2 linked regions of the Solanum lycopersicum genome follow. The protein of the gene in region 2 interacts with the protein of the main gene of each other region in a pairwise test. Links are inferred from orthologs where the notes say so. Each region holds a gene or a part of one and is shown on either strand. Other genes may lie near its edges. The genes, in order: guanine nucleotide-binding protein subunit gamma 1 and guanine nucleotide-binding protein subunit beta.

Region 1 (4,544 bases), on a different chromosome or scaffold from region 2:
AATTCTGATAAATTTTGAAAAAGATTTCAAATATGATCGCATTATTATTTATTTGTTTCTTTTCCTCTTTACGCTAATAGAATTGTTGAATGTAAACGTGTACACGTGATAAATATCAAATATGGGCAAGAAAATATTCTGGAGGTAATTTATTTATACCAAAAAAAAAAAGCAGAAAAAAACTTGTCTTCACTAAAAATGGAAAAAAATAAATTATTTTCCTCCCACAGAAAATAAATCCCATGTGCTCCTCTCTGCCAGCTTTGGGAGCTTCTTTTATCTTAATTGAAGATAACTTAAATTAATAGCGATATATAATCTATTTAATAATTTTTCATTAAGTGAAATTTGAAAAAAAAATTAAAAGTATATTACAGTGCAAAGTCTCACACTATATTACCTTAGCACTGTATGTTAAGTTAATTCCTATTAGTCATTTGGTTTTAAAAAAAAATTTCAAAAAAAGTTTGAAAAAAAATATGAATAAAGAAGTTAGATGAATTTAAAATAATTAAATTCAACAATTAAAAAAAAACAAAAACTTAGGTTAGCATACCGTATGAATTTAAATATTTCATGTTCTGTCGATTCATTTTCATCTAACATTTTTTAACTCATCGTACCTCTAATAACATCCATCATTGTCATTCATGTATACATTTTTATTGAACGCTTATTTCCTTTGTAATATTAACTTGAATCACTTTGTATTTTTAGTGAGATAATTTCCAATTATATAAATATCTAAATTTTATATTATACTACAAATACAAAGTTAAGTTATTTCCTTTCCTAATTTATCTTTTCTTTATTTTTATCGTTTACAAGCAAGATAAGATTAATGATCTTTTATTTGAAATGTAACGTAAAAAAAAATGATTTGTTGTAAACCAATGATTTAATCAATAAATTATTTAAATCTCATAATTAATTAAATAATATTACCTAAATTAGGATAAATAAACTTTTTTGTATATATATAAATTATAATTTCTCTCCTATATAAATCAATATAGATGGTACTGATATTGATTTATATTGTAGCTTACTGTTGAGGGTGACAAATCAGTGTTTCAACTTCCAAGTGCTCAGTAGTTGAACTCAACAGTGGGTTCTTCCCTTTAACCTTCTTGACACTCATTTGAAGTGGAGTTAAAAACTCAAATACGGAATTCAATTATCTTTATTCAAATGATATAATTTATAATAAAGAGTACACTAAATAATATATAAGGGCATACTTATGCATTATTCCTTATAAAAAATTAAAGTTCAAAAAATTTAAACTCTAATTTTGCGAAAGACTTCCCTTATCCTGTTCAATCCTCTTAGTATTTTAAAATTGGAGTTTGAACTATAAATTCAACTGTTAGCTCATTTTTCTTTTTAAGAAGTATACTAAATATAGAATTTAACGGTATAATAATACTATTTATAAAATTAAAATTCTGATTTCACGTCACAAACAGCTACTTTCAAACCACAATAACCCAAACACAAGCAAAAAGAAAAAAGAGACAAAAAAAGGAAGAATATTTTTGTAAAGTAAAATAAGTGAAAAAAGATTACCAACTTTCTCATTATTCAAAAAAGAAAAAATAATTTAAAAACCAAAAAAGCCAACTTTCCTTTTTGTTTTTTTTTTCTTCTTTTTTGGTTTCATCTTTCTTCTTTGTTCTTTCTGTTTTGCCTATCCCTTGGAACATTTCAATTCACTTTGTAGAACAACAAAACAAAAGTAAACCCCCCACCCCACTTCTACTACCCCCACTTTCTGCATTGTCTCTTCGATTGTCCATTTCTTGTTCTGCAGAAACTGCTAAAACCCTTTTTCTGGTTTCTTGAACAGTTCCAGAATCTCAATTTTTTTTTGTTTTTTAATGAAAATTGAGTGTTCTCTTGATTCTTTTTCCAAATGGGGTTTTTTGTTTTTAGTCTTTGAATAGTTACAGAATCTCTGGCTTCACTTGCACGATTTTGATTCTTTGGGGATTTGTTTTTTCGTATAAAATGAAGTTCTTTCCTTTTTTTGGTTTTTGAACTTTTCTGATTCTATAGGTATTTGGGTTTTGATTAATTGTGAGAAATGCAATCAGAGAGCTCAGAACAGGTGAGATCGGTTGTGGCAGCAGCTGATACTAGAGGGAAGCATCGGATATCTGCTGAATTGAAGAGACTTGAGCAGGAAACTCGTTTTTTAGAGGTTCTTCTGATGTCTCTTATTAACTTTTTTGTTTTGTTGCTTAAAAATTGTCTGTTTTTTCTGGTTTGCTGAATATGGTTGTTGTGAATTTGATATGTATGAGGAAAAGTTTGAATCTTTCTTCAAAGGGGGTGTTGTGTTGTATTGGTACACAGTGCAGATAGGAGTAATGAATGATGTTAAAAAAAAGGGATTTATCGTTATATGTGTTTGGTAATATGTGAAATGGATTGACCATTAACTGAAAAAAAAGAGCTTTTCTTTACTTTCAATTCTGAAAAGAGGGGCTTATTCACCTTTTTGGTTGAGTTAATGTACCAATGAGCTATTTCATCTTCTAGCACACACTTTCATAGTGTGGTTTACCTCTCCTGTGTGGTTTCCGAGCTGTTGTGAGGTTTACCCTGTGGTCACCCAAGGAGTAGTGGCTGTGAAGTCCCTTGTCATAGAAAAATGAGCTATTTCATGTTACATATCTGATTAAAGTTCTTGAGTCGTGGAAGTGTGAGGGTGTATGTCCCCTTTCATTTCATTTTCGATGTAGTAGGGAGAGTTCATTTGAGTTTTGAAGTGAAATCTTATTGTTTTTGAGAGTTCGAATAATAATTATTTGAATATGTTTTGGACTTGGCATGGAGTTTTTACCGAGAGCCTATAAACCTGTTGAAAATAGGACATTTAGGGCTCACTGATGTTTCATTGGAAACCAGTATCGAACTTCAACCATGAATTCTGGCCATCTAAAAAACTGCTGCACAGACTGCACAATATTACATGTTATTGTTTGAAATGCCTTTCTATTTGTGTTGCTTAAAAGTTTTTGAAGGCTTGATTTGCAACTATATATAAAAAAGACTGTTGATATTGTACCTGATGAGGCATTAACAGGTATCCCCTTTTTATAAACATCTGAAATCAGAAGAATATAGTGAACATTGTTTCAGTCCATTATGGAGTTGTTAGTTGAACACTGGAAGTCCTTACTTATTTGATGTTGGAGTGGGAGGAAGAAAGAGACGGTAGGGCAGGGGGGTGGGGTGGTACAAGGAAAATAGAAACCTGGAGTAGGAAAAGTATCATCGGACCACAAACCAATCAAAGTAATTAAACTGAGTTGCTTCACTGCCAGAAAACAAAATAAGCTGTTCTGTTATTTTGGCTTTTCCTGATTGTGAATTTTGTTGTTTATTATGGGAAACAGTGGTGGAGCTAGGATTTTTAATATATCTGGAGTCAAAATTCTAAAGGAGTAGACCTACGAAGAAGTTAAGGGGAGTCAATATGTACTATATATCCATAAAAAGGAATTTTTTTACCTAGCTACACAGTGGAATCTTCTTCTTCGTCACCCCTGGAATACATGTGGAGGAGATTCCGAGATATAAATGCAAATATTTGAAGATTTTGTGGTGGTTGGGGGTATCTAGCTGTGAGGATTTCTAAAGCAGACAAATTTTCATGGTCATCGGATTATATATGGAAGGAGACAGATACTAGAATCTTCTCTAACTGTGCAATTAGAATCTTTGTTTTTTGACTTTTGCTTCTTGACATGAGTTTGTAGCTTCACTCCTTTAATCATTTCATTATCTCTGAGAAAGGTCTAGAATATTTTACTCCTTCAGGCTTCGTCCTTTTTTATATGGAAAGACTTGATTGAACATTGTAAATAAGATGTTAATTTTGACTTGCAACTATATTACTGCTTCTGGAGAAAACATGAATTTAATAGAAAAACATTACATCAAAGTTTAAAATTTAAACCACTTTATCAATTTGAATTCTTGAAAATTGTGAAAGCTGTACAAAAACAGAATGGTATCAATCATGATTAGACGTCATAAGAATGAGTAAGATAGAGTAATAATTTGAACTTAAATGTCTGGTAATGCTCATAAATATTAGTTCGTAGAGTGATTAATTATCACTCACAAGTAGCATTTCGATGTGATTCATATATATTGACTTTCGAAACTTTTTCTCTAGAAATTGACCCAATCTTATCAAATTACATCTCTTTTAGCATGGTTGGAGGTGTAGGTATCTAATATGTCTGCCAATGTGCTGAGGAGGGGGGTTGTGTGTGTTGATGTGCGCACAATCTGTCCAGGATACCACCACTATAAAAAATAAAATGTGAGCTTACGCTGATGTTTTTGTGAGCTGTAAGGTGTTACCTTTATGAATATTTGACCTAGTCTTAGTTCATAGTTGCTTAAATTAATTTTACGTCCCTGTGATCTTACACATCAAACTTGGGAAATAGAACATGTTGAGAGAAATACAACACCTCGTGCTTGTTTGGTTTTCGAATTCTAAAATGTTCTATCCTCTGATCAAG
Region 2 (4,377 bases):
CTCTCCATTAATACATCAACAAAGTTTTTAGAGGATATTATATGCACATAAAGAAGCAAAACTAATGAGCAAGTATGATTAATAAAGTATTCTCACTCAATTTAGTGAGTACCGGTACTTGGTGTTATGCAGTTGGGTAGTTCATGAGTATGATGATTCCTTAATTACTTGCTTTAGTCTCTCCACAGGTGGATTGTCATTTTTGATCTTTCACATTGTAATAGCTATGTCTTATAGCTGCCTCTTCAAAAAAACCAACTAGTTTCCGTAACAGCTTCCAGCAGTGAAATTAAAAGCGCTCGCTTCAGTGCTTAAAGCGTGAACTAAGATCAGGCAAGATGTGGGGAAGAGCACTTTATGCCCTGAAGCAAGGCTAGAAAAGAAAAGTGTGCGTCTCAGCAAGAAGTGCCTGAAGCGTGAAGCATCCTTAAGCGAAAAAAGCGAGATTTTTGGAAATTTTCAATGAAATTAGGGTTAATTCTAGGTCTAGTTTTAAAACCATTGCAACAGAGTCTTACACATCTTTTTCCTGCTGCTGCTACTCGGATTTGCTGCTCTTTTCTCCTCTAATTCTAGTGTTGCAATGTTATTTCTTATCTTCTTCTCTTCGTCCCTTAATCTTTTCTTGTCTCTTCTCCTCTCCTCTTTAAATTTTCATGAAAACCTACACGAAAATGTTAAACTCTTCCTCTCCAAATTTCTCTTCTTCTCTACTTCTTTTGGAATTATATAAGAAGAACAGGAAGAGTAAAACATTTGCATCTAGAATTTGGTTAAGAATTTGTCTAGGGTTTCATGAATTTGGTTAAGAATTGGCTTCTAATAGATAACTATCATTTTCGTCTAGGGTTCCATGAATTTGGTTCTGAAATTGCTTAACATGTTATGAGGATTATTTTTTGAGACAAAGTTAACTGACTATCTAGTTTTACTATTTTATGAGGATTATTGACTCCTATTGAGTTCTTGGTCATTTATCTATATGAATTTAATATTACCTAATTTCGTATTAAATCGTGCTTTAGTTAAAAAAAAAACCATGCCTTCACTTCACACTTCATTGAAGCGAGCAGTCGTTGCTTTTTTTCACTTATTGATTTCCAAAACACTGGCTAACAGCTAGTTAGATGTTAGCTTGATTTGATAGTTATCATGCTTTCCTAGTGTCCAAGTTTTTAGGTGGCACATATTAGTGACTAAGCAACATCCTTCCATACACGTACTCCCTCTGTTTAAGCCGTCTATACTTCTAAAACTACGTGTCAAGTCAAAACTAGACAAACAAATTGAAACGGAGGGAATATAATGCATCATTCAAGTTGAAAACAATAGATTACAATCAACTATGTTAGACCCTTGTCAAGGACTAATTAACCAACTCTGCTCTTGTTGATTTGATCTTCTTCTACTGCTCTGTGCCTCCACTTTTTAACTTGTTGTTTATTATTTCTAAGAATTATTTTGTCGCCATGTTATGTTTTGACTTTGAGAATAAAATTCAATTGACACTTTGTCAAGTAACAATAGTCACAATGTACTAGGTTTAGTCACTTCCAATCATACAATAGTTGTCGATTTTACTTCAAGAACCAATTACCTCGTGCACCCAGCAATTACTCGTCTACTGAAGGGAAATGTGAGAAGGGAGTAAAGCAGACTAAAGAAAGAAAAGAGGTGACAGTTAATACTCATATAACAACCACACCTTGAAGAATAGAGTAGTTAAAAACATAAACTTGCTCAGCCCTTACACTAAATTCATGCATGCACAGTTCAAAAAGAGTTTGTGCTAGCTTCGTACTTGTTAGGGGGCCTACGATAGCAGTAAGACTTTCAAAATGTACTCGCTTTACTGCATTGTTAACGGTTAAACATGCTAACAGGACCAGCCATAGACCAAAAAGACAAAAATCCATGGTCTCAAATTCTCGTCCTGAACTCAATATGATGGTGTTTGATTGACTGCAAAGCTCAAGATCTTAATCTAGCTTGTTCATTTCATTAGCAAAGGTAGAAAAATACACAGAAAATATATATTAAAAAGTTGGTTTCATAAACAAAAAATCATATCAAGATTCAAGAACTTTTTTTCAATATTCATCAAGATTCAAGAATTAGAATATAATTAAACGAATTTGAGTTAATTTTTCATCAAGATTCAAGAATTAGAATATAATTAAACAAATTTGAGTTTAAGTCGTGAAAGTAATCGATCAAACAAACAATCCGTATGTATATACATATAAATTGTAAGAAAGAAAGCATGAATTTCGTTATATAAATTTGAATCTCAAATTCAAAAAAGATGGAGAAAGTATCTAACCTTTCCAGTGTGTCCTTGCAGGATCCTACAACAAACCAGATCTGTTGGGCCGAACGTTACCGGAGTTTTACCTTGCGTCTTTGCATACCCAGAAACTGCGAAAAAAGAAAATAAAAAAAAAATCAAGATCTCTGGAATAGTTACGGAAACAGCTTCAAATAAGAAAGAACTTACCATCGGTGTCGAGTAATTGGAGACGCTTCTGCTTAAGTTTTTCACGGAGATCATTTACAGTCTGTGTGGCGGCCATGTGCCGCTCTTTCAGCTCCGCAACTGACATTTCCTTAAGGAAATTGAAACATAATTTTCACAAAATTGCAAGATTTTATTTTTTGCTTGGATTAGGGTTTTTGAAGAAGAAAGAGAAAGAGGAGAGAGAAAGAGTGGCTGAGACAGCGGCGAGTCACGGAAGTTGGTGGTGGTGTGAGGGTGGTTTCAGCCTTTTACAGAGAGCTGTTTGACTGATAGCCGTCGGGCCCACCGCTGTACATGACGTGTTCTTGTGGGGTCCACATGACTTCATTGACCGCGACTAATGAGTCCTCTTTGGGCTTCCGGCCCAAAAGAGAACTGAGAGTATTTCTTTATTATAGTATTATGATTTATTTTATGGGAAAATTATGCGGATAAGCAAATTTATATTATTTAATTACTCATCATGACTATAGTTTGTTATAATTATCATTTGATATTAACATGATATATTAATTATGTGAACTGACTTAGATTTTATATAATATTTATGTTTGTATATGTATAATGCGCGTGGATATACAAATAAATATGTATAATATACAATTGTTTAGTCTATATACATGTACAATTCACCTCTCTGCCCTTTTTTACTCGCCTCTCTCTTCCCTCTCTCAATCTCGCTCGCCTCTCACCTCCCACCTCCCTCTCCCGATCTCGCTTCCATTTATATAAATGTATATATATAAAATACAGTTATATAAAATTATATACATATATAATTCAATTTAAAGTCAAATATATTTTAAAGTGAAGAAGGGGCTTTGTCCTAAAATATTTGTTTTTTTATTTTCGAAATTATTACTTTTGTGACCTTAGATTGAGTCAACTTGTCTAGACTTTTTAACATTGATTGCTTCTCCCAAGTAAATCTCAGTTCTATCCTCAACCGTTAATTATTGTGTGATTTATTTATGCTAAACACGTGAATTTATTACCCTAGAATTCTATATGAAATATGGTTGCAAATATATAAATGGTGGTCTATGGGATTTGGCAACTACAAAAACTCATGTCTGGTATCTTTTATTATATAAATAATTATTTTCAAGCAAATAGCAAGACTACTGTTTTATAATTTCATGGATCACGATTACAAGTTTTTAATTTACTTCGTTTTCTTTTAAATTTTTACTTTTTGCTTGAGTTTGAAAAATAGATTTCATGGATCACGAATACAAGTTTTAATTTGGTTAATAGAATACAACTTTAAAGAGTAGTGTCAAATTTATCAAACAAATTGAAGCTGAGAACAAAAATAAACTATATCGGATGTTTCCAATGGTCTGCCAATACCCCACTATCTTTAATCCAACTGCATTACTCGGGATATGTTGTTTGGAAAGAAAATGATAGTATTAAGGAACTATACACTTCAAATTTATATAGTTCTTCTTCGAAGACAATCCTGATCATTTTAGCAAAAGGAAAAAGGGGGTAGATGGGATTATTTATCGACCAATTTTTTTAGTTACATAAACTACTCCATCATAATAAAATATATTTAGATGCTTTGCGTTATAAGTTGCCACCAGGATAAGTACAGCCATTGTAACCTAAGAAAAAGAAAGAAGAAGACAAAATGTTATTTATTGACATAAAGACAAGGGTAGTTAATCAAGTACCAAATATGAAAGCTATAGCCTTGCCAAAACATGTGTTTAATTAGTTATTAACAGTTTGAAATTTGGATTAACATTTGTATCTAATTTGGAAGAACAGTTTTGTCATTGAATTGTTATGCCACATTGGATGTGAAATAATCATAGCAAGATTTCAGTATAAATTTAACCAATATTTTT

Evidence for each region.
Region 1: the proteins of guanine nucleotide-binding protein subunit beta (region 2) and guanine nucleotide-binding protein subunit gamma 1 interact in a two-hybrid assay, tested with the Arabidopsis thaliana proteins (2 studies listed by BioGRID, with this or other methods). The link is inferred for Solanum lycopersicum from reciprocal best matches to the Arabidopsis thaliana genes AGB1 and AGG2.

Annotation. Positions count from the first base shown.
Region 1 is NC_090808.1:66,085,560-66,090,103, forward strand, and holds the start of guanine nucleotide-binding protein subunit gamma 1, read left to right. Parts: upstream 1-1,456; 5' UTR 1,457-2,086; coding exon 2,087-2,203; intron 2,204-4,544. UniProt on the Arabidopsis thaliana protein: Guanine nucleotide-binding proteins (G proteins) are involved as a modulator or transducer in various transmembrane signaling systems.
Region 2 is NC_090800.1:92,558,817-92,563,193, forward strand, and holds the start of guanine nucleotide-binding protein subunit beta, read right to left. Parts: upstream 2,896-4,377; 5' UTR 2,604-2,895; coding exon 2,498-2,603; intron 2,419-2,497; coding exon 2,324-2,418; intron 1-2,323. Other genes in the region: glucan endo-1,3-beta-D-glucosidase, read right to left, coding at 4,094-4,131. UniProt on the Arabidopsis thaliana protein: Guanine nucleotide-binding proteins (G proteins) are involved as a modulator or transducer in various transmembrane signaling systems.